2 linked regions of the Oreochromis niloticus genome follow. The protein of the gene in region 2 interacts with the protein of the main gene of each other region in a biochemical or structural test. Links are inferred from orthologs where the notes say so. Each region holds a gene or a part of one and is shown on either strand. Other genes may lie near its edges. The genes, in order: polyadenylate-binding protein-interacting protein 2 and ubr5.

Region 1 (12,695 bases), on a different chromosome or scaffold from region 2:
CTCCTGGCCATCAGGTGCCTGCTCCTCCTTGCCATCAGGTGCCTGCTCTTCCTCCTCCTCGCCATCAGGTGCCTGCTCTTCCTCCTCCTCGCCATCAGGTGCCTGCTCCTCTTCTCCGTCCTCCCTTCCTTCCATCACTCCTGACACTTCCTCATCCTCGTCGTCCTCCTGTATTACCATCTTCACTTTGTCCTTCTCCTCCTCTTCCTTCTTTTCCTCTCTGCTCCTGGAGTTGGAGGACTCGGCTCTGCCATTCTTCTGGCTCGAACTGTCTCCTCCGCCCTGTTTGTGCTTCACACTGTATGAACGAGTGTGTATGAGTTTAAGCTAACATGTGTATCCTGACATATATACACTGTGTTAGCAGTTAGCCAGCTAACACCACCTCTCATAACGAGGTCAGAGATGATGTTCGATTTCTAACTTTTAATCAAAGAGTCGGGTTTGCTCACTGGCTAATCTGGAGCTACTTCTGCTGACACCCTGCTGTTTTCAACATGACGTCTGCTATGATCTACGAAAGCTGAAATATCATGGATCAGTTGTGCTGGACCAGTTTAAAGTCTGTGACATGGAGGAACAAGAACAAACATTGGTTTGTTTGTCCTGTCACATTTCAATACAAGGCCATTTTAAAAGGGCATCTAATTCTGACAATATTCATAATACGCACACTTTCATTAAATACGCTAAAGTGTTTGTCCAAAATAATAACTGAGTGGTCTGGAGGGAGCTTATGAAAGAGTTTATAAACATGTCTTATGTAAAATGACCTCCAATGCTTAATGGTTTCATTGACTTTTAGTTCTTTCAGTAGAATAAACCTCCAGTCACCAGGTCAGGTGACTGTCTTTTATTTCATTTGTTTCCCACAACCTCCAGTCCAAAATGTTGTATCTGTCTCTTTCACTGCATCTCATTCATGTATGTGTTTACAGTTCCTACACCAGGTCATGGTAGCAGTGTCTGAAGCCGGGTACTCACTTGAGGGTTTTGTATTTGGTGCAGATGTTGAGACGGACTATTCTCCCATTGAAGACGAGGGGGTTCTGGGTGTAATGCTTCACCAGCATCTCTGCATCCTCCACAGCTGCCAGCTGAATAAACGCCTGGACACACAGACGAACACAAAAGCAGCCATCATTCAAACTTACTTCACCTTATCACAGGCTATACTCAGCCCAATCTGATCTCCACACTTTCTGTAGTAATGCTGGCATCACATCAGCACTCAAAGAGCAGCAGTGTTTCCTGCTCTGGTTTATTTACCCGGTCGGTTAAGAAGAGGTGTTTCTCAACCACACCGAAGCGTTCGGCGAGGGTCAGCAGCTCCTGTTTCTTCTCGTCCTCTCGGGGCAGGTGGTAAAAGAAAACCACCTTGCTGCCGTGACTTTTGACCTCTTTCTCAGGTTTGTCTATCGTCCGCTCCACCCGCCGGGTCATCAGTTGGTCCCCTGGTCGGTCCACCGGCCGCTTTGTCGGTCGGTCCATTAGTCGCTCGTCTTTCTGCGGGTTAGAAACAGAAACTTCTTAGGATCTGAGTCTGTGGGGAAGCGGCGAGTTTTATTTAGCGAACGAGGGCGATGTTACCTCGATGAACATGAGGGTCTGGGACAGGTAGAAGGTGACGGGTTTGCCGTACAACAACAGTGGATGCTGCTGGTAGTAGTTCACCACGTCCAGAGCTTCTTCATGTGTGCTCATCTCCAGAAAAGCCTGATGGTCACAAAGATTAGACTTCAATGCTGAATTCAGTTTTCCTCAGAGAGGTCTGCTTCACGACCAGTTTCACAACCACGTATTTAATGTTGTTATTACTGGATTATATTCAGACTTCTTTGAACTCCAGCTATCTATAGTCTCTTATCACAAGCTCGATCTGACTCCATCTCCACCATCTTGGACTGCAGCTGGTGCCAGCAGTCCTCCTCCTGGTGTGGAGATCCTCTGTGAGTGGGTTCAGCTCAGCGAGGCTGCGAAGGAGAATGAGGACTGCCAGCTGCAGTTTCAGATTGAGGAGATGGAGTTCATGTGGATGAAAGAGTCACTGGTGAGGCAGCTGATTGTAATGTTCAGTTACATTTATGAAGAAGAAAGTTTAACTAATGTTTACATCTAAGTTAGAAGTAACTGAGGTGGAAACAGCGAGGTGAGTTTTCCTACCTTGTTCTTGAGGATGAGGTGCTCCCTCAGGCAGCCGAAGCACTCGGCGAGGGCGAACAGCGTCTTGTCGCTGAGAGGCTTCCTTTCATATTTCACCACCACCACCCTGCTCCTCAGCTGAGGACACGACACAGTCTTTACTGAAACCAGCTGAGCTCTGCAGAAATAAGCTGATCCGCAGGAAGAAACAGCAGAGAGACATAGGGGATCAAACTCACCTTATTCTGTCCCAATGGACCGGGACCACGTCCTCCTCCTCCTCCTGACACACAAACACACCGATGTTTGCACATGAGAAAAGACAGATTTCAAAAAGTGTCTGCAGCTTTCCGAGGGCACTAAACAGCCGGGTCTCTTAACCCTCACCCACTTTTTTTAATGGCTCTCTGTATTTACTATACCTGAGCTTTTTAACCATTTTTATCCCAAAGTCAGCAAGCTTGGCATACAAATGTAACACTGAGCTCACAGGAGAACCCGACTTGATCGGTTGGAAGTTAAAGACTTGACGTCAACTGTCTGAAACCATCTTTATGAATTAAATAGTGACTCCCCACACAGAGAGAAAGTGATAAATGACTTAAAATAATCATGAAGTACTAATAGTATTAATAGTGATAAAATAAGACATCTGTGGGTCCCTCACCTCCACCCCAGCTCGAGGACATCCCTGCCATTGGTCCTGAAGACATGGGGGCTGGTCCCAGCAGTCCTGCAGACAGGTTGGGGGTCTCCCAGGGACGACCACTGGAATTAAAAACATGTGATCGTCAGTTATCAGACATCTAGATTATTAACACACAACACAATCAAAGAGATGGTTTGTGAAACCTCTGGAGGCAGGAAAGTTTCTGAATCTTTAAAGTTTTTCCCACAAATAAAATTTATATTCATGTATTTTTTCCAACATCTGAACAGATTGTAAGTCAGCTTAAAAAAAATGAAACTCTCAGACTGTCTTGGTTGTTTCTAACAGCCTGTGGAGGGATTTCTACATGCTGGATTTATCTAATGAAGCCCATCTGACCAAACAGGAAGTTGCCTGTCAGGTGTACAGTATGCTTGCTGCTCTCTCTGCTGCTGTGCACCATACATGACATACAATGCAAACAACAGAAAGACAAAACAGTGCAGGACAGTCTGTTTGTGCATGGCTGTCAGTAATAACACTTTTCCAAGGTTACGCCGAGGTCCTTTAGGACTCTAAATCTAACATCTCAAACACTAAAGGAGGAGCTTAATGTTAGCATCTCTTACCCTCTGCCTGGGCCCATACCAGGGTCCCACTCTGGATACCTGAAAAACAACATTCAGTGTTACACATCTGATAAAGAGGAACAGACCTCAAAGGGGCATTTAGTCAACACCGATGAGCCAGAGGAGCATGTTTGCGTTGGTTTGGGTCCTGAATCTCTGCAAACCAACCTAATTTGTTCTGATGTGAACATGCTGTTAACAGATTCAAAACATAATCTGTTTTGGCTCACTGTTGTGTATTAAGAGCGACTCACATGTCAAGAAGCTGCCGTCTGTTTTCAGCATGGTAGAGGCCGTTAATGTGTTGGTTCCACTCCTGCAAACACAAACAGAGCATTACTGACACTCAACAGGCTGTTTCTCCTAAAATACAACCTGTATATTAAAGGAACAGTTCACACAGGTATTAACCTTCATAGCGTCATCCACACAATCACTTAGGACCAGATTTACTAACAAGTTAAATGCAGTTCATCGGGTTTCCATTTTAAAACCAAAAATTCATGATTAAGATCTTTTTAAGACCTAGAAAAACTAATAATTCATTATATTTTGTGTGCAATAATCACTATAACAGACAGTATTTGATACTTTTTTTAAGCCATCAGTGACAGTCATACAGGCAAGAAGAGCTCACCCACATATCATCAAACCTGCTCACTGTGTGACTTTGGTTAGTAGGTTACTAACTTCCTGTTGATTTTTGGTAAATTATGTTTGGTCAGCATTGAAAAAAACCATGTGCGTCCATGTTAAAATTTTTTGCTTTAAAGCCAAAAACTGTACATTTCTTCTCAGAGACAATTTAAATGTCCAAATTCGAGTGATAATCGATTAAATCCTTCTTTCTCACTCCTGACACCACAAACTGAAGAAAAACAAACACAAGACCCCAGCTGCCAAAAGTCTCACAGGTTTAAAAGCTGCCAATTCGATAAGTCCATGAATGTGTGAGGAGCTTCAAATGTTTCATGTTGGAGACACAAGGAGCAAATCAAGATCCTCCCAGGACTTTGTTAAAGCTAATGAAGTGAAAAGATCAAGTAAATCAGACTGAATGTGTAACATTAACAGCTTTACCAGCTCATGTGAACAGATACTAATTATAAAAAGAGATTTTTGCTTTGATTGGATGACCCCTGGAAAGATCCAAATCTAACTGTTCAATGCTGGAGAGCTTCAGCTGAGAAAATTGAGAGAGGGAACATGCTGTGAGGAGATACAACAAGGAAATTATATGAAGTAAACCGGACCTGAATCAGCGCCTGTCACTGACTGAAGGAAGACTGGAGCTCAAACATTTACAGTTAGTCCGAGAAGAAAAGAGGAAGCAGGTTGGACGTACTCACCATGGTGGAATGAACGTCAAAGTCACAAAGAGAGCACACGTGGGGGAACATGGGGGGCATGACTCCCAAGAAGTCTTGGACTTTTCCGTTTGACGGGGAGCCCATCCTCCTCTGCATAAAGACGGGCTCAGACGGGCCCATGCCGAGCCCACCGCGGTGGGAAAGCTCAGAGTATGGCCTCTCTCTGCTCCCACCTCCACCGCTGTAATTTAAGCCGTAGCCCCGGCCGGAGGAGACGTCCTGCAGGGAGCTGTACCCAAAGTCTGTGGAGGACTTGGCTGAACCTTGTCCCAGAGAAGAATTGCCCATCCTCCCCACGTGCCCCTCTTCCCAGCTTCCTCCTCGATACGCAGCATCAGAGGACATGGCCGCCCGCCGCTCTCCTGCTTCCCCCTTGCGGCTCTTCAGCTGCCTGAGGATGTGTGGCAGCGTCTCCACACTGATATCCTCCTCAGGGATTTCAGCCAGAGCGTCCAGGTCAGAGGGCGACAGCCCCAAACTGGCAAACAGCTTCATGGTGCTGCCAAGATTGCTACTGCTGCCACCGCCGCCACGTCGGGGCATCTGCCCGCTGCCGTCCTGGCCCTCCATGGCCATGTCCACACCCACCCCACCCCCATTGGTCTGTTGGGACGCTGCTCGTTCATGCTGAAGTTCAAGGTTTCTGCAGCGGCCAGGAGCCCCCTACCCACGGTGAAGTGTTTCTGAGCGCCGTCAGCCTGCGTCTTCTGAGACATGATATCAAAAAGTCTGTCTCGCTCTCTGGATTCAGCACAGAGAGCCAAGATAAAGAAGGAAACAGGCGCTGGAAAAGGTCTTCAAAGATGACAGGAACTTAATGTGGTCAAAGTGAGCAGGAGCTCCTTTTCTTCTGTGGTGGCAAGTCTTATTTCTGCTGAGACACAATGAGTTAGAAAAAGCTTCAAACAAAGCCTCTCCTAAGAAAACAGGAGCCAGTGGAGGCCCTGAGCCACAGACGGAGGAGCACGACTCTGATCTTTACTGCAAAGGGAACATAAGAGGCGGTTAAAGGAGGAGGGAGAGAAAGATTCACCTCAGCCCGGCAGGAGGAACATGACCTGATGCAAACAGAGTGATGGAGACCTCCTCACTGAGGAATAGAAACTCTGAGTCAATGGAAACATCGACAAGATGCGAGATTACAACGAGCCTCTGAGTGAATCACAGCCTGACACAGACCAGGAGTAACATCTGTGCAGGTACAGTGAGAGGAGAAGGAAAGCTGCAGCAAACACGCTTTACGGGTCGAGCTAACAGCTAAGCTAGCGGCGCTATCATATCTAGGTTGTTTAACTTGACATGTTAACTAAAAGATTAAGTACGCTGTCATATATGACAAAATGAAACCAAAAACGACTCAGATAAGCTGCGCAGCTAACTTTGCTAACATACATCTCCTCCTACCTGCTAACACTAGCATAACTAACACCCTTAAGTTATCTGATATTTAATGTGCAAACTGTGCATGAAGCTGTTAACTGTGAATTTACGTGTATAATATCATTTATCTGTAATTACGGACACTCTTACCCTTTCTCCAACACCCGAGCCCAGCTGATTAGTAAATAGCACGAGACAGGTGACCAAACTGGAGGACGTGAAATATCGCGATATTTCCTCTCCTCCTGCACCAGGCAGTGTTTTTGTTGTTTCTGTTCGCTGCTGAAATGTTTTCTATGAAAATAACTATTAACACAACACACACTTAGGTCCTCCATATTAATAATTTCTCTCAGGTTCTGTTATTACTATAGAGGATATGTATTTGGTTTAAAAAATGGGTTTAGGTTTGTTAAATCAGTGGATTTTATAAACTTTCGGAGGAAGGCAGGCTTTCAGAGTTTGGACTACAATGCTGCTTTCAAGGTCGGAAAAGGTGCCAGCACCTAACGTGATGAAAGCCCTTCTCAAATTGAAAGAATTAGATCAAATTACAAAACAAAGAAATATTCCAGTGAATATAGTACTTTGTTTATCTGGGCGTGAGTGGGTGTCCAGATAAAATAAACAGCTACACAAGGACTGCTCAGACATGGACTTTCTTATCCTAGGCAGATTATAGTTGTATAAAAGATCAACAAACTTTTTATTGTACTTGTAAACCCACACAGAATAGTTATTTCACTGTTTACTTTTTAATACAGACAACACTGAAACCTGTCTACACAAAAGAATCACAACACCTACACCTACTGAACCTTTATCTTTTGGCTGCTCCCTTTATGGGTCACCGCAACACTCATCTCCAACCACTCCACCTCACCCAGTGTGCACGCTCTTCTTCAGCCCCCTTGTGCAATGTTTATTGCTTTAGATTGTTGACTCCAATTAATTAAACTCATCAACCTTCACTATCTGAGCTATTTGCATGTACACATTTTCACCTGTTTCCTTCTCATCCACATGCATGTATTCTGTCTTGCTTCTACTGACTTTTACTTCTCTTCTCTCCAGAGAATACCTCTCTTCCACCTGCTCCCTGCTCTCACTGCAGTTCACAATGTCATCTGTAAACATAATAATCAACAGAGACCCATGCCTGTTCTCTCGAATGAAAACTGTAGCTACATCAATTTAGAGAAGTACCCCGATTATTCTAAGCTGATATTTATTCATGATGTCCAGTGATCTACTTACATTGATGACTAAATATAAAAAATAACAAGCTAAAGTGTAGCGTCGATTATAATGTGTATCCAGACATAAAGTTCTTTGGATCGGTGCACTGTGATATTTAGTGAATGAATAAAAAGTGAAATAGAGACCCAGAACACATTCTCAACCTCTGGTATAAATAACGTTTACCTTGTCTGGTCTTCTTGTTAGATACCTATTTTCCGACGTTAAGGCGTGAAGTCCATGAAGGCAACAGGGCCTCGACCAATGAGGAGCGAGCGCACGGTGACGGCGGAGATGTAAACAAACAGAAGCAGCGCGGCCATTACAGCAACAACCGAGTTCCAGCAAGTTGACCGTTTCTCTCTTCTGTCGTCGAATAAATCACCCCCGAAGGTATTGTTCTTCATAAAAACACAGCTGCCCGTTTCCCCGTGCTCCTCTAACGCGGTTGGGTGCTCGTGGTGGTGTTTTCGCGGGGATATTTTTCTGTTACTGTTGTGTTCTCGCCAAAAATTATTCGCTAGCTGCTTGCTATTGTTGTCCGTCATACAGCGGCCATGACAGCGAGCATCATAACGGCCGAAGCTACGTGTTTGTTCCCGTTGACCTCTCTCCCTCTCCCTCACTGTGTCCTCTGGTTCTCCTTGTAGACATGAAAGACCCGAGCATCAGCAGCGGGGCCCCGAACATGACCACCGGCACCGATGTGATCCTCACCAGCCAGTTCAACGCCGAGGACGACCCGTTCGCCGAGTATATGTGGATGGAGAACGAGGAGGAGTTCAACAGGCAGGTGAGGAGCTGGGCCGAGGCTCACCTGGACTGCAAGTATAAAAATCTGCGTTTAAGGCGGAAAAATGGTTAAATAGTCTGAAATTAAGTTTATTACGGAGGAGGAAAAGTCATCCAAAAACACAGCAGGCTGATCCTTTAAGGTAGAACAGATTTAGCTGGAGTTTAAAGAGAAGTTATACCTCAAACCAGTAGCTACAGAAAGACTCAGTTGACTGTTAAGGTGGAAATCTAATGTTTGAATAACAAGTTCAAAGATTAATTATTGCCTGAGATTACAGACTAGTTATCTTTTTATTAACTATTGTTTTATAGATACATTATGTCCAATGTATGGTGGACTCAGATAACTTTTAAGGTGGAAATCTGTTTTTCAGTTTACAGATTACACCGAGAAATTGTTCTGTAAAACACGTGTATGCAGACAAATATAGCTTTCCCTTTTAAGATCGAAATCTGTCATTTTCCATACAGATTACACCTCAAATCTGTATTCTTCTACTTAAAATGAAAGATCAGCATCTGCACACGGACTCCTCTGACTGCTTTAAGGTTTGACTTGAGGGTGATTTATTTTGGGAGACAGACAAGGCGTCTGAAAAACACTCCAAGATGAATTTTTAAGGTGGGAATAAACAGATGAAGTTGCGGATTTGTTCATTTTTATATGAGCTCAGTGAGCTCAGTTTCTGAGGTAGAAATCTGCAGATTAAGATAAATTGTACCTAAACAGTTGTTTTTAGTTGTAAGCAAAGATCAGTATCTTCAAACAGACTGCGTCAACTTTTAAGGAGGAAATCTGTTCTTCTTTTTATAGACTGCACTCACGTTGCTCTGATGTGAAGCTCCCATATGCAGATAAAGCAGTATGTTATGGTGTAGATTTCTGCAGACAGACTTTCCTGGTTGGATTTGGAGGTTTAAGGGAAACTACATGTCAGAATTTTGTTGTTTTAGTCAAAGTGTTGCAGTAGAATTCAAGTCTGCTTTGCTTGGAACTAAAGATCAGTTTCCATAGATAGACTTTTAAAGTGAAAATCTGGGGTTTATGTTACAAGAAAAAAATAGCCTTAAATTGGAGTTATTTATTTGAGAAGTATCTAGAAACATATTCATTTTTAAGGTGGTAATGTGAATATTAAGTTGTAGTTTATTGAGATTAAGAGAGATAAAGTGAAATTAGGTTGATTTGATTTGAAGACAGGGAAAGTATCCAAAAGCATGATGGGTGACTTTTTAAAGTGTATATCTGTAAACATCTTTACAGGTTAAACCCAGAAATTGTGCTGTTGTACATCTTGTATATACAGATGACAAATATTAAGGTAGAAATCTGGACTTTTAAGTTGAAGATAAAAAGAAACTTTGTATGTTTACATACAAACTCAGCTGATTTTGGTTATTAAGGTGGAAATCTGTTTTTCAAAAATAGTGATTTTTACGGTGAAAATTTGCACTTTAATGTGAAAGTATGTTGGTCAGCAGATTAAATAGAATATTTCCAACACCTGTGTTGTTCAACTGAAAACAAAGGTCATTGCCTACAGATTCACTTTTTTAAGGTGGAAATCTAGGCTTTTGTTTACAGATTAAAGGAAGGTTAACGTTCAGAAATTGTGCATTCTTAAAAGTAGCTGTGATTTTAAGGTGGAAATTTGCAGTTTGAAGGAAAATTACACCGAGCAGCTGAAGCCTGTGTGCACCACAAAGCAGCAGCTCCTTGAGCTGGAATTCAGGTCAGGCGGTGGCCTGATTATGCAATCAGCTGACAGCGTGTGGAGTCGGTTAACAGAGGAGTAGGTGGGAGGCGTCCGGTTGGAAATTTCCATAAGGATGTTTTGTTTGGAAAAAGGAAACTGAGTCCGTGGAGCTGTGTTTTAGAGAGCGTTACGTTTCACAAAGGAGGGAGGACAGCAGCTGCTGTGTTACTTTAACTCTGTTCTCTGTTAAACTCTTTGAATGTTTCCGATTTATATTTGTAAAATCAGCCGCTCTGTTTCGAGTAGTCGTCTCGTTGTGATTGGTCAGGTGTTGCAAACCCCGCCTCTGCCATGTGAACACGGTCATTGCTAGATTAGGAAAGCCTGGGCTTACTTATTGAGCTGCTAACCAGCATCATCTTAGCCAGAGAAAGAAACAAGGATAACTGGATTAGTAGAAGGGGGTGCAGAGCAGATTCACCAGAAGAACATTGTAGCATCTCCCCTTAAAGTGTTCTCTGTGTGATTTTCGCTCTCGGGTTGGATGACACGTTAAAAGTTTTGGTTCTTTGTTGGTCCAACAAGCGGTGACATCTGCTTCTCTGCGTGTGTTTTCGGCAGGTGGAGGAGGAGCTGTGGGAGGAGGAGTTCATCGAGCGCTGTTTCCAGGAGATGCTAGATGAGGAGGAGGAGTGGGAGTGGTTCATCCCGTCCAGAGATCTCCCTTCTCAAAGCGTCAGCCAGCTGCAGGAGCAGATCAGCCTCCTGGTCCTCGATGGTGACAAAGACCTGGATGTGGTGGTGAGTTTATCACCTTTACCATCGGTTACAGAGAAAACTGGTGTTTTGGCCATAAAAATAAAAGCTGTCAGCTGACGTTATTCCAACACATTATAAAAAAAACAGTCTGCAGATGAAAACGATTATCTGCAGTGTGTTTTGATGTTTTTGCTTGAAGGAATGATAAAACTTTAAGAGATAATTAAATCTGAGGTCAGCTCTGCAGAAGAGCCAAACAATGAATATTTTACCCAGAATTCACTGGAGTGTTAACTTCTTTTTCCCCCCCTTTTTTTTAAGTATAAAACATTTTTTTAAGTAGGCCTGATTATGAAAATGTAGGATTACAACAAATATACTCTATTCATCCCGAATATTGGTAAATCCTGTTACAAGAGCCAAAACATTAAAAACAACCACTAATAAAATAAAATAAAGTTTGAAAAATAGAATAAAAACTACACAAATAATTTAGCATAGTCAAATGGAAAAAGATAAAGGACCTCAGTATGTAAAAATCTGAATTAAACATGTGTAAAGCTGAATATGATACAATAATGTGTAAAATAGTGCAATAAAAAATAATGAAATCATTAATACAGGAAGAGCTGCTGAGTGAGACAGCACAGTGCCTGAACGTGTCTGAAAACATCTCCACACTCACTGATTTCTTAGGTTTTTTTCTTCCTAATTAGTTGATTATTAAATTAGTCTCTGACTGTTGACCCTCATCTGTCCAGCAGAGGTCGCCGTTTCTTTATTTTCTTCACAGAAATAACAATGACGGTTTTTCTTCTTCTTCTCTCCTTTAGGTGACCAGCAGCTTGAACCCCAATGCCAAGGAGTTCACCCCAGGCATCCAGAAACACGCCATGTGACCCGGCAAGGCTCCTCCCTCCCCCTAACCCTACTCCGCACTGTGACATCATCACCAAGATGTCTGCTGTATTTTCCAGCCGCCACTCGACCTTCAGCCTGACGTGTTGCCAAAGTTCTGCGCTCGCATGTGTTCACAGTTACAGTTAGTTTTGTGTGTGTGTGTGTGTGTGTGTGTGTGTGTGTGTGTGTGTGTGTGTGTGTGAGTGAGTGAACTCTCTGAATGTACATCAGCTGAGAGGAGTGTTTGTATGACTCTAAATCAGAACAAACTGCTTCCTGTCTCCACTTTAATTATTATTTTTGGGGCACTTTTATAAAACCTGAAATCAAACCGTGTGCTTGTTTTTTTTTGTTTTTTTTTTCTTTTAAAATTCGACTTCCTGTTCAGAGGGTCGCCTTCGCCGCCTCGTGGCGTCTAAAAGCACTTTTCCGGTCGTGGTTTGTTTAGCTGGCTGTTCTGCTGTTTCTTGCTCTTTTTCCCAGCATCCTTGGCGTTTCTGTCAGCTCTGACCTGTCTTCGCTCTGCTGCCTACATCAAATAACTCGTGTTGACTTTTTTTCTAAATGCACAGAAAGTACTGTATAAAAAGTCGTATAAACAAAAACAATGTAAAAAAATCTATTTTTTCTTATACTACTTGAAATAAATGTTTATGAAAGGAAAAAAAAAGTGTTTGTTTGTTTGTTAATAAAAAGCATCCACACAGCTACGAGAGCATAAAGGACTGGGCAAAAGTCTTGAACCAACCCAAAAGTGCAACAATCAATTGAAACATGTAAACATACATGGAGATGCAGTATATGATTTATGTAAGTATGGTCATTTATAAAGTAAAAGAAAATATTACTTTTACATTTTTTAGAATGTTCTTTAAAATTATTAAATAGTCATTTTTAAAAATAAATAAACATATTTTATTTATATGCTACACACTTGACCTCAAATAGTTCACTGAAAGTTAAAAACTTGTGTTTTAATGGAGTTTTGCAGCTCCGCCTGCAGGGGGCGACAGAGTCTGCCCAGCCTGTAGGCCCTCAGCTGGTTTCTAACCTCCAGAGCTGCTGTCTGAGCTGGAATTTAGAGCGAGGACTAATTTATCTGACAGGAAGTTCCTCCTGCTTGCTCTGCTCTCTC
Region 2 (12,567 bases):
ACTGGAAACAAAAGATGGGAGATCAGTTACAAACCTACAGATGTCCCAAAAGGACTAAAAAACAAACAAACCAAAAAAATCCTATTTTTTTTCTTTTACCTTTATAACCTGGGTTAACAAAGTAAATTTACCCCAGGTATTAGTTAATTTACACCCCTTGGTTCAGGATTCATTTCATTATTGAACTATGAAACAGGAGGGGGTATTTTGGAGACTAGCATGGCAACACCCTTGGGAATCAGAATTGGCTGCAACTCATTCCTCCATCAAGACTTTCTATTTTTAAAAGTTCTTGGGTTTTGGGGCTGCGAGTGCTTTCTCCTAATAATTGAATAATGTAATGTAATGTTGTATGAGTTTAAACAAAAGTAGTTAGCTGCAATATTCCTAAGTGATGTGTTGTACATTTGTATAATTTGTCTTTTGAATGAAGAAAAAAACAAAAAAACAAACCCTTTTAACAAAATAACATAATCAGGTATTACTACACTGTTACAGAAGGAAATAGAATACAGAAAAGGAAAGTCAAATCATTCAGATATAATAAAAGCAAACAAATTCAATCCAGCAGTCAACAAGCTGACACAATCCATTACAATTCAAAACCACACAAATGTGTTTGTTGAGTATGCTGACAAACTTCCCAAAGACAACCTGTCAAGGCTCTTTTCTTCGGGCTTCCCAACAACCCACAATAGTGCCAAATGAATAGCTAAGCCATGTCCTGTTGTTCTGCGAGTCTGTGGCAGGGAACGAAACATATGCTCTACAGCAAAATCTGGAGCAGAGGGCTCCTTAGTCTCTTACAGCCCGACTCGCATGCATATTGAACAGCTAGTATATGAAATCACTGTTGGATGTTGTTCTGCTGGCAGGACATCAACAACTATCAATGAGACACTCACCAAAATTCATGTTCATAGCCAACGAGAAACAAAGCAGCTAGTGAAAAGGTATTTTTATAGAAACATACAAACAAAAAAAAAAAGTTGTGGCAAATGGCACACACTTGCTCAGCCAAAAAGGGAACTGGCTTTCAGAAAGTTACAAAAACAATTTTAGGGCTGCTATGTTTTTAGTCTATTGGTGTCAAGAAAAAAAAAAGAAGCTTTTTCTTTTTAAAATTTGAGGTACAAAAAATAAATTCCTAAGATAAAGCTATACTGAGAAGATTTGATTTGAATTAAACTAAAACAAGAGCATCTGATATTCAAACAGCAGTTTAGGTATATTTAAGACTTTGGAGCAAATCTTTGTTGAAACAGACAATACCACAGTAATATGCTAGAAATGTGTTATACTCGCCAAAAAGGGCATAAGTACTGACTAGAATTCAAATTACAGCAACCAAGATCCATAAGCCTGAGCATATTCCTCGCATCTTGAATGAGACGTTTCCACAAGCAATCTGTTTTCCAATTCAGTGCCAAAGCTAAAAGCTAAAAAGGTTTCCTGGGACAGATCCCATCATAAACAAGTCTCTCACCCATCGCTGCCATCCGGCTTGCTGAGCTCCAGGCGATCCGGCTGGACAGCAAAGCTGATTCTGCATACACGTCCATCCTGAAAGAGACGCAACAGTGACTTTTAATGTATTACATTAATTAAAAAGGGAAAACAAATACATTTACATTAATTTATTACATTCGGAAATGAAAACAAAACGGAGTAAAATACAGTCTTTTCTTTAAACTATTTTTCTAAGATAATTAATAAGCACGTTAACTACAGCATACCAACTCATTTATCACCATGGTGCTGTACAGTGCTATCTATAATTCAACATCATCATAATGTGGTATCAGCTTGACATGAACAAACACACTCAACACTTCAGCTGAGCATCTTTCACCCACTTGCAAAATACAAACTGAGGTCAACTAACTAATGACTTGTCACTGCACTGTTCAAACTGAGCTGCACCAACTGCAGAATTATGATAAATATTAACAACATATTTAAAAAAAAACCCTAGTCCATATCTACATCTATTGAAGCATATTATCTCATGTTGTACAGCAAAGTCAGAGGGCATCTGATAACTGTGACCTGGCAGCAGATCAGCAGCTGTTTGATTTGATGACTTATAGCATTACCTCAAGGAGAAATCCGGCATGGTTTGGACCGACAACACACTGTTTTAGGGTGGCCTGCTCCAGCAGACTAAGGTGTGGATGACTGCATTAAAGGAAAAAGAAAAAAAAGTGAGCCGACACACAGGACAGCAAGCAAAATAATGTTTACAATAAGTGATCACAATGAATAAAATCACCTAAAAATACAACGCAGATACACACTCACCTGTTATAACTATATTTGTTGAGCTTCTCTGAGACTTCACGGAGTCTGAGAAAAAAACAAAACAAAACTACATTAACATATCACCCAGACCAATTTAAGACCTCAATGCAGGTTCCTGTGTGGGAGTCAAAAAAGCATACTGAGAGAAATGCTGTAACATGAGTTACTGTTTATATACAAGCCCTTTTAACTTGCATACAAATTACTGTAAAACATTTTTAAAAGCAAGAAGAATATAGGTGCATTTCAGAAGGCTTTAACATATATGCATCTTTTTAAATTATCTGAATGATCATAATGATCTCAGGACAATTTGTTAATTCAATTAGGAACTAGGAAAACAAAACCTCTTTTCTACCATATAGCAAGACAAGAAAAAAGCCAAAGATAAAAGATGACATGTTAAACACTTGTTTTGTTTTAAAACAGTATGACACACAACAGGTTGCTAATAACACACACAAAAAATAAATGTTCTTGATCAGCACTGACAAAACATCTGTGGGAACTTGTATGTGATGATGTATGTGCAGCAAGCATCTAGAGCCTGTTGGACTGTCCAGAGTCAATGCAATGACTCAGTGTTACCTTTTAATTTCTCACTATTTGAGAATAAAATATATATTATACTTAAATTAATGAATGGTTACAAACTGGTAAAAACTCTCTCTTATAGTTCTGTTGATTTTTGTTTGACTGTAGCTAAAAGGCTCTTTGTTAGGCTCCAAAGTTTCCTCTAAGAAGGACGATCCCATAGGAAGATATCAGCCAGTGGCAAAAGCCAGAGTTGTAGTATGCATTTTAAATACCTTTCAGCAAGTTCCCAGACATGGTTTGAGTCTAGTCCCAGGCTAAAAGAAAATTCAATAACCTTCATTAAAAACTAAGTTTATGGTCTGGGACTAAGCTTAATCCACGCCTGGAAAACTGAGCCTCAGTCAGTTTTTAATGTACTATATAGTTCAAAGGTTATGAATCCGCAACCCATCATTACTGGCAATGTGGAAAAAAATTACACTTCATTGATTTTCACTGCTTCATGCCTTTTATCAAATACACAAAGCAGTTTAAAAAAAATATAAAAGAAATTATAACAGCTATTTCAAGCTTTGCTGTGAGTTGCCCTTAAGTGTAAAGCAAACTATTTTTGGTCCCTTTTCCACTTGACAATCCTGACAAATGTGCTGTAAGATTGCCTATATTGACATTTAAGATGAGTCATGACCACCATCCAGCTGTCTGCAGGCAACTGAATCTTCTATCTGCAATCTCTAGTAACAACAATGTGAGGATGGCATGAAAATATCACATGGTTAGCCCTACATGGTGTCAACGAGAAACTGAAATGGTCCAAATAGAAAACAGATACTGAATTTCCCCCAGAACCACCTGACAATAAAAAATAAAATAAAAAAATCTCCCACTGACACAATGAAAAGCAGTTGTCTGTCCTGCCAGTCCAAAATAATCTTTTTAATTGGTTAAAAAAAAAAAAGAAACATTCAAGGATTGCTGTAAACTTTTAATACTCTGTTTTATAACTTTCTGAAATAGGTGGCCTAACTGTGTGCTGCTGCAGTCCACTGAAAATCAGCACAGAAAAAGAAAGAAATTAGACATCAACTTCCATACTTATTTAGACTATCAGTGTCTTTTATGAAGAAGTGTTTGTCTCATGTCATGAAACCCATTTGCACCTCACACAATCAAGGAAATGCAGTTATCCAATCATGCTTCAGCACACACGAGGTCTGGATTGTACAGTTTCTTCAATTCTTAAGTGCAAAAGATCACTGGTGATGTGATGGCATCCAAGATGTGAGAAAAACAAAAAAGCATCACAATGTACATGTTACTGTCAAGGCCAAACATACAAAATCACATATATCTCACTACTTAGACATACAAAAAAGAATTGTGTACTAAAATAGATGCACAGTTTATGCAGAATGTCAGAAAAAGCCAGAAAATATGCAATCTAATTCCACCCTTTAGAAAGCTATCAAAAGCAAGGTAGAATGTAAACAGGAAATATTTTTAAATTACATCCAATGCCTCTAAACCACTGGGACATAAAAAACAGAACAGGCAGAATTCTTGTCACACACACAACATATTAAAAGCTCATGCTTCACTCCTAACACTGCAAAAAAGTAAGAGAAAATGACTCACAAAGCATCCAGGTCAGCCATTCACTAACCTTCCCATCAAATAAATGGTAGTACCCTAGCACAGACAAGTCTATTCCCTTCAATGAGCCATTTAAAACTGTTTCACTGCAGCAGAAACCCCCCCCCCCCCCCCACATAAAATATCCATCTCACTACAGGGGAATGCCATTTGCCATTTCACTGTCCTAAATGAATGTGTGCAAGCAAACCTCAGGTCAAACAAAGAAATCTGACCAGATATTCATGCTAGGGAAGCTGGACTAAGACTTTTTATGTCAGATAGAAGCAGTTATCTGCTTTGACAACTGCAAGTTCATAGAAGACAGACAGAGAGAGAGTGAGCAAGGGGGTGTGAAGGGGGGGGGGGATAGCACCACATGGTGACAGCAGCATGCAATGACATGCATGCCTGGGGATCAAAAAACCCTGACCTCTTTTAAGGAAGGAATAGTCCATACAATCAAGATGTTTCAGCGGTGCCTCTGACCATCAAGAGCAAACTGTGCTTTCCTGTCAATCAGACCAAAGCTGATCCCCGCAGATTTGGACAGTACATCAACCAACAGAGGATGCTTAAATCCTCCCGTGCCCATAACCAGTATTTAATCTCAAGGTCATTCTAAAAACACTTTGACTTCTTGACCTCTTTGTCTTTAAGTAGAGCAGCTCATTAATCAGTTAAGTCTCAATGGGTGTTATAAATAGTTTTATCATAAATCGCATGTTCTGCCAAAAAAGGGTCGTAAACAATCTCCTGAACACTCAGTCTAGAACCAAAAATCCATAAAGTCAGAGTGATGCATACCAGCACTTTGTTACAAGCAACAATGTAGTATGTGGCCAAATACACTGTGCAGTGCCACATTGTATTAAGGCAACAGTGAGAAGACTTAAAATGTCGCGTGTGGGCACTCAGGACAATTTAGAATCCAACACAGACCGTAAACTTTAAAAGCCTTGGCTTGCCACCTTATTAAAGCCAATAACTAGATTAATTTGAATGCAATGGTGCTAACAGTAGTTCGCTGCATATTTTAGATATTTATCTCAGTGCGCAATGCTAAAAGAAGACAAGCGGTGACATAATTTCAAACGATGTTAGTAATTAAATGTTTAATGAAGCGTCAAGAAAAAGAAGAGCCTTCCACAAAGGCCCTGAAATGCAAATATTTGGCTTTCTTAAGAGCGTGGTAGCGACTTAACTAGCTTGCTAGCATTAGCAGCTAGCTATCGGTAAGCTGACGTTAGCCGCTGCATAGATCACGGTAAATCAACAAGACGCTCGCAAAACAAACAATGACACTTGTCAAAGAGCGTATATGGTAACTGCACACGAAAAAGATTTAAATTTTCTACTAAGTTGTGTTTTTACGACCTTTAATACCCTCTCTTTACCCCATCCCCCAACCCCGCAACTTTGACTAAGAGCCAATCCATCCAGAGAACCAAGGAAACCGACAGCTAGCGTTAGCTATTCGACTGAAAGCCAGTTAACAGGTTAGCATGTTAGCAAATGACTCTGTTTAGGTAGCAGCAAGCTAACAAGGATCCCTCAAAATGCCGGGCCTCATTTTACCCCCCGGGTGGGGGGGTCATTTAAATAATTTAAACCCGAACACATTCACATGACAATGTCAACATCGAGCACAAATACTAACTCGAATACTAAGCAACACTGCCCGCACATAAATATTGATTTCAAGTCTTCTTTTTCCACGGGCCGCAACAAAATACCTGTCATTGAGCTGATCCTCGGTCCCGGGCAACGGGTGAACCACGAAGTGTATAGATGTCATTGGGCCAATCCAAAATCACAACGAGACGTGTGGAAATGGGTACTCTTTCGATTACTGTATATATGAGGATTCATAGGAATCTTTTAAGGGCGAAAAAGCTCGAGTTAGATCCCAGCCTCCTCACCCACATGCCGCCATCTTAGCTCTAACCAGCTTCTTCTGTGTGTGTTGATTAGTGCACATGCACTCGCTCCGCTGGTTGGACCTCTAGCACAAACAGGAAATAAAAAAATTGGATGGGGCTGGCCTCGAGAAGAAAGACATCTGTAACAAAAAGCCAAGCGTTGCACTCCGAAGGCTTTGTTCTAATCCAGTTCACCTATTGCATCTTAGTCTGTTTTGTCTGTTAGGCAGTCGAGGTGTTCATATGTTCACTAAAGCACTATGAAGGTCAAAGAAGGGGTTAAATTTTGCGAGGTTATCTCTTTAAAAGCAGGAACAATAGAATAGAAAAAGATGAGACAATTGGTTTTAAAATAGAGTATCAACGAAAAAGAAGCAGCACAAATTTGTGCCTTTTGTGCAGTTACAAGCGGTATAGTTTTTTCTATTAGAAATTGCGTCATTATTCTAGCTTTATTGTCTGCTTCCAAGTCAAAATGTTCAATAATAGATAAAATATTATTTCTAAAGCCATTCAGTTAAAAAAAAAAGGTATGTACAATACATAACACGGTAACTAATCAGTGGTAAGAAATGTATTAATGTCAGCCTAAAAGGCTAACACGATGGACTGCTGTTGTTATAATAATGTTAAACAGCTAGCACTATTAGCTTTAGCGTTTAAGCTACCCAACTTGAATTCTTTGCTAGCGTCCACTGTAATGTGGCTATTTTCTCCCTGTGAACACGTGTGGTTATGCAGGCCTATGTATACGTGTGCGCCTGTAACTAGTAACTGCATTGAATTCTTTGCTTGTATGTTGTTTGCGATTTGCTTTTGCTCGCCTGTTTTTTAAAACAATATTTATGAATAATAAAATATTAATGAAGACATTAATGACAAGTATACTTTGCCCCTACTTGCAAAATTTCATCCTTGAGTTAAATCAAATGAAAGGATGATGAAAAAACAACAAAATAATACTAATACTACTACTAATAATAATATCAGATGTCTTTCTGCTAGATAGATAAATTGTATTATATAGAGTGATAGCATGAGGTATGAAAGATTTCCCGTTTCTGTAATAAGAGTGTATCTGAATGGGCTCCTTGAAGCTCCTCTGCTTCCTGTCTAGTTAAGTGCTGCAGTCAAGGATTACCTAAAACTGATAATAGTTTGTTCAGTGATCTCCTCGCCACCACAGTTTCAAAAGAGCCAGCCTTCCTAATCACTTTATTCAGTCTGCTGGTGTCACCAGTTCTGATGCTACTCCTTCAGTCGACCACAGCAAAGTGCACTGCACTTGCCAGTACAGACTGATATCTCGAACAATTTGCTGTGCACACTGAAAGAAAACAGAGCCTCATCATCCCCTTTTGTATATGGCCTCTTTATTGGTCTTCCAGTTCAGTCTGTTGTTTATGTGGATCCCCAGGTACTTGCACTCTGGCACCACATCAACATCTTGTCGCAGGATTGGGTTGTGTGACTGTCCTCTTCCTTCTAATGTCAATCACCATCTCTCGGAAGCAGACGATTCCTCCCAGACCACTCCACAAAACCGTCCACTACTGCTCTGTACTCCCAATACATCCAACCACCGCACAGTTGTCAGTGTAATTTTGCAAGCTGCCCGAGTCTAAGTTGTATTGAAATGTAAATATAATGTTTCTGAAAAATGTTTAAAATTGTGATTTGTCCAGTTAATTTAGTGTCAGTAAGAGCAACATCAAAATCTGAAAATAAAATTATGATTTTTTATATAAGTAATTATTTATTACTCAAAAGTACTTCCAACAAGTACTTCCAACATGGCCCCATGGGCCTTCTTGTTGGGATATTTGGAGCATTTTGATTTATAATAGCAAAGTATAAATCTGTTATGACTAAAGTAAAATTATGACTAAATTAAATAAGAATAATTGCAAAACTACATTTTAAAGACCTCCATAAGTTCTGCTCAGGGATAAAAAACAAAATCAGATTATTCTCTCAATCCATTTGGAAATAGGTATATTTAATCCTATGTTTGTTTTTTCAGTTTTTGCTATATAACAACTAAATATGCAAAAAACCAACCAGCACTTACTATTAAACCATTATTTTTGGCATATAATGAACATTATTTGTAATAAAAGATCAGATGTACTTTATTCCTCCCCAAATCTGGGCAAGATCATAAAACAAAACCCAGATAAAGGCCACAAGCCGAAACGCGTTGTACAGTCAATAAAGTTGCTCCTCTTTCATTTTAAGTGTTGTTGGAGTTCCTGCCTTGTGAGCTTTTCATCCTCTCCATGCACCTTGGAAATAGATGAAGTTATGCCAGAAATTTTTGCTGCAAGATCATAAAATAAGACAGCTCCCAAATTAAAAAAAAGAAAGAACTCAATAAAAGATAAAGATGAAGAGCTAATTAAGTGACAAATGTAAGTAAATAAGTTAATACGCATTTATGTAAGTAGTATCTAAGTAACATTAAAAAGAATATCCATCTCACTACAGGGGAATGTCTGTTGTATAATAAAGTAAAAGTAAATATACATTAAAAATGTATTCAATCATAGCAATAATGTTGATTAAGATGCAACTGAAATATATAAAATGAAATGTTTATCTTTTAAAAATATCTAATCATTAAGAAAAATATACTTGGTATAAACTGAATGTACATTAATCAAGTAAATGTCATTGTGCTATTATTTTGGACATAGCACTTATGTAACAAAATTACTTGTAAGATTTACATTATATCAAATTAAAGTCAGCGTTTTGGGCATATTTTAATTTTGAGTGTATGAAGCAGGAACTCCACTTTTCTTCTCCTCATACCACATTAGTCGTATCTGTCCTTGTGGCAGCAGAGATGAAACAGATGTTAAAGAAAGTGAAAAAAAAAATCATGACCCTCAGATCATTGCTGCTATTCTTACACTGGTTTATATTTCAAACTGAACCACCTAAAACCTGAGCTCTATAAATGGAAGACCACTGGGAGTCTGTGCACAGCTGATCTTCCTCCCATGGAAAACTGTGTTAGTGCGGTATTCCCAGTCTATTTAAGCCCTGTTGAGTTAAGGAAATAATTTTCTGTTGTTTGAAAGAAAGAAAAAGTAGAAGACTCTAATTTAAGCACAACGTTACCATTATGTAACATTGTCAAAAGGAAACTATAGTTTAAGCAGAGCTTAATTCTTGACCCATGCATGTCATGGATGTGAGCAGAGGAGCTATAGTCAAGAGATGGCCACATTAGGGAGAGGAGGGGTGAATGAACCTCTGCTCAGTGCATGGTGCAAATGATAAGATTTGAATTTTCCAATTTTCTGAAATATAGATTTTGTGTTTCCTGTCCCCTCCAAAAAAATGCATTGTTAAAAGACAAATAAATAAATGAAAACAGCCTATGCAAAACAATGATTTCCAACTCATATTTTTGTTATACATGTACAATCTCACAAAACTGCAGTTTATCTCACCAGTAGGTGGCATGGTTTACCTTTGATAATAATGTGAGACAGTTGTAGTAATGACAGCTGTCCTTCCTGCACTGCTCTTCTGATTATTTGCTAACACACAAACTCTGCAGAGTTTTTTCAGGATATTTATGCATTCTGATAAGCTCATGGAGAATCGCCCTTCAAAGCTGGAACTGAAAATAAGAGTTTGCCTGCCGAATTCCATTGAAGCATGTTGAGGAAAAAAGACTTGCACTTCTCCTCCAAGTCAGGTTCCTCTTTTATCTGCAAAGTACAGCACAAGTTTCCACTCAGCTCTCGCAGAGAGAAATGCAACCATCTGACTCAAAATGACCCACATGGATGTTGTCCTACCCTGGCCTGCAGTCCACTTTATCTGCAGCTCGACCGAGGAAATGTTTCCTAAAATGTCAGTTGTAACATAAAGAAGAAGACGCGAGTCACACAAGTCTTACAGTGGCCTTTGTGTTAGACGAGCGTCTGTGAAGAATGACTGTTGATTTCGCAAACATTTAAACCATGTTATTAAAATAAGGGGAAATAGTGCAGATGTAAGTGAGCATATTTTCACTAGATTATCTGATCATACGTTCTCCTTCAAGTTTGTATGCACCACATCAACCAACCAGATGAGAGAAGAGCGTAAGTTTTATCTGTGTTTACTGAGTTCAACACAGAGGTTATTGAAGCCAAGGCCATTGCTCCAAAAAAACACCCTGTACCCTTTTTTAAGCGTGTAGACAAACAAACCAGAGCTATTTTTAGGTAGGAGGGTGCTGGGTTATTAAATGACCCCGGGAGTTCTTAAATATGGGTACAAAGAGTCAGGGCCAGAAAACTGCATTATCATCAGAGAAAGGTTAGTGGGTTTGGGGATTTAGGAAGTGTGCACATTTTAGGCTGCAAATTTAACTCAATGAATAAAGTTTTATTGCACACAGAGACACTAGAGACAAGATATCCTACTCAGTATAATCAGAGGTTTTCCAGTTGTTACACCTTAAAACTAGGCTGTTTTCATCAGTGAACCCAGACAAGCTGCCTGGGGTAACATGATCAATAGCTGAAGAGTATGAGTTTAAAATAACTCCTCTTAGTGCTGGCAGAAGCATATCTTTGCAGGACTAGGGAAGGACAGAATGTAGCTCTACCTCTTAACATGCACTCGCCTGCACAAACCAAAAAAACTATATAAAAAGAGAGAAAGAGGATTCAGCCAGTCCTGAAATGTAATCTATGAGAAAATCCCACACCAGCAGAGATAAGATGGTGCTTTATTTGGAGCACAGTCGTCAAACTATTTTAAGCGGTTTTCACCTGATTTGACCGGTGACCATTAAAGTTCAAGTTCACTTTATAATGATTCAGAATAACTGCCCATTAAAGACTGCCTGGAGATTTCAAGAAGGGTGCTGAGCGGCGAAGGATTTTGCACAAACTCTGTGCACAACCTACATAAAATCATGGATTTCTGCACAGCTTACATGGCATTATATTGGTCTCTATATGGCTGGTGAATAAACAGACGTAGTGAGTAGTCTCTTTCTGGACATAGAAACACATCCATTTCTGAAACATCTAAAGAGAACGCCAAGTCCTTGGTAATCTAGTCGAAGTGGAAATCACCCCTGCTAGCAAACTCCAGTTATCCATTTGTCACTTGCCATCTAGGGGTCAGGTCATAACATGAATGAAGCACTGGTCGTAACACTTGCACAACTGTATACACATGTTGTGAGGCTCTGCTCTAAAGAGCTATTCTATGATTGGTTAAAGACCAACAACATGCCACAGGATCCTCTTTTATGCCATAACCTCTCACTTAAGCTGAGCTGTTTTGCAAACCAAGGATGAGGTGGAATTGAACTGCATGCTCATGCAGCAGCTGCTTGTCAATCACAAAGTACACCCACCTTAGAGAGTACCACATTTATCATACATTTCTAATATAATGAAGACCCCTGTGTACAACAGAAGTCTTCATTATTTTCCCCCCATCTTTCATCTTTAAATTGTTTGCAATAAACTCAACATGCAAACACGGTTTGTGTAGATGAGCTGTGGATTGGCCAGTTGCAATGCACTATAAGTTGGATTACTGATCAGAAAATAATTAATTCATATTTTTTATAGTTCTGAGACACTGGATGCAAGTTTCAGGGAGCTTGAGAAAGTTATGAATGAAATCTTTATGCATTGCATGGTCACACTTTTATTCTGTTCCAGCAAATATGCTTTTGAGGAACATCCCAACAATGCCAGACACAGTCAAATGGGCTGTGTGTCTGTGTGTGTATTTCCCCATTGTGTGTCTACAACCGGCCTTTTGTCCCGGTTCTCTGTGCTGTGCAGGAAGGTCTAGACAGCTGACACTTACCTAATCCACAGGGCTGGCTGAGGCCATCTCCTGTTGGCTGACCTCTTTCCTCCCACAAAAGACAAGGGTCTGCTAATTTAAACAGCAGTCAGATTAATATATATCTATTTTGGGGGAGATTTGAGAAGAAATAAAAAACAAAAAATGACTCAAGAGATGTAGCCTATTCACGTCATTGACTAGTATGTTAAATATATTGTTGTTGCTTTAAGCACCAAACTATCTGAACCTTCTTCCAGTCAGGTGAAATGATTCAAACACAGCTGCCTTGCACCAAAGTAGGGATGTGATTTACACACAAGACACTGGAGCTAACAAAATGTAATCTTGGTACAAC

What was found.
Region 1: the proteins of ubr5 (region 2) and polyadenylate-binding protein-interacting protein 2 form a complex in vitro, tested with the Homo sapiens proteins (2 studies listed by BioGRID and IntAct, with this or other methods). The link is inferred for Oreochromis niloticus from reciprocal best matches to the Homo sapiens genes UBR5 and PAIP2.

The regions. Positions count from the first base shown.
Region 1 is NC_031966.2:9,428,496-9,441,190, forward strand, and holds polyadenylate-binding protein-interacting protein 2, read left to right. Parts: upstream 1-7,641; 5' UTR 7,642-7,802; intron 7,803-8,059; 5' UTR 8,060-8,061; coding exon 8,062-8,202; intron 8,203-10,522; coding exon 10,523-10,702; intron 10,703-11,493; coding exon 11,494-11,559; 3' UTR 11,560-12,230; downstream 12,231-12,695. UniProt on the Homo sapiens protein: Acts as a repressor in the regulation of translation initiation of poly(A)-containing mRNAs. Its inhibitory activity on translation is mediated via its action on PABPC1.
Region 2 is NC_031976.2:6,486,559-6,499,125, forward strand, and holds the start of ubr5 (E3 ubiquitin-protein ligase UBR5), read right to left. Parts: upstream 6,421-12,567; 5' UTR 6,269-6,420; coding exon 6,207-6,268; intron 2,347-6,206; coding exon 2,302-2,346; intron 2,179-2,301; coding exon 2,097-2,178; intron 1,564-2,096; coding exon 1,487-1,563; intron 2-1,486; coding exon 1-1. UniProt on the Homo sapiens protein: E3 ubiquitin-protein ligase involved in different protein quality control pathways in the cytoplasm and nucleus. Mainly acts as a ubiquitin chain elongator that extends pre-ubiquitinated substrates.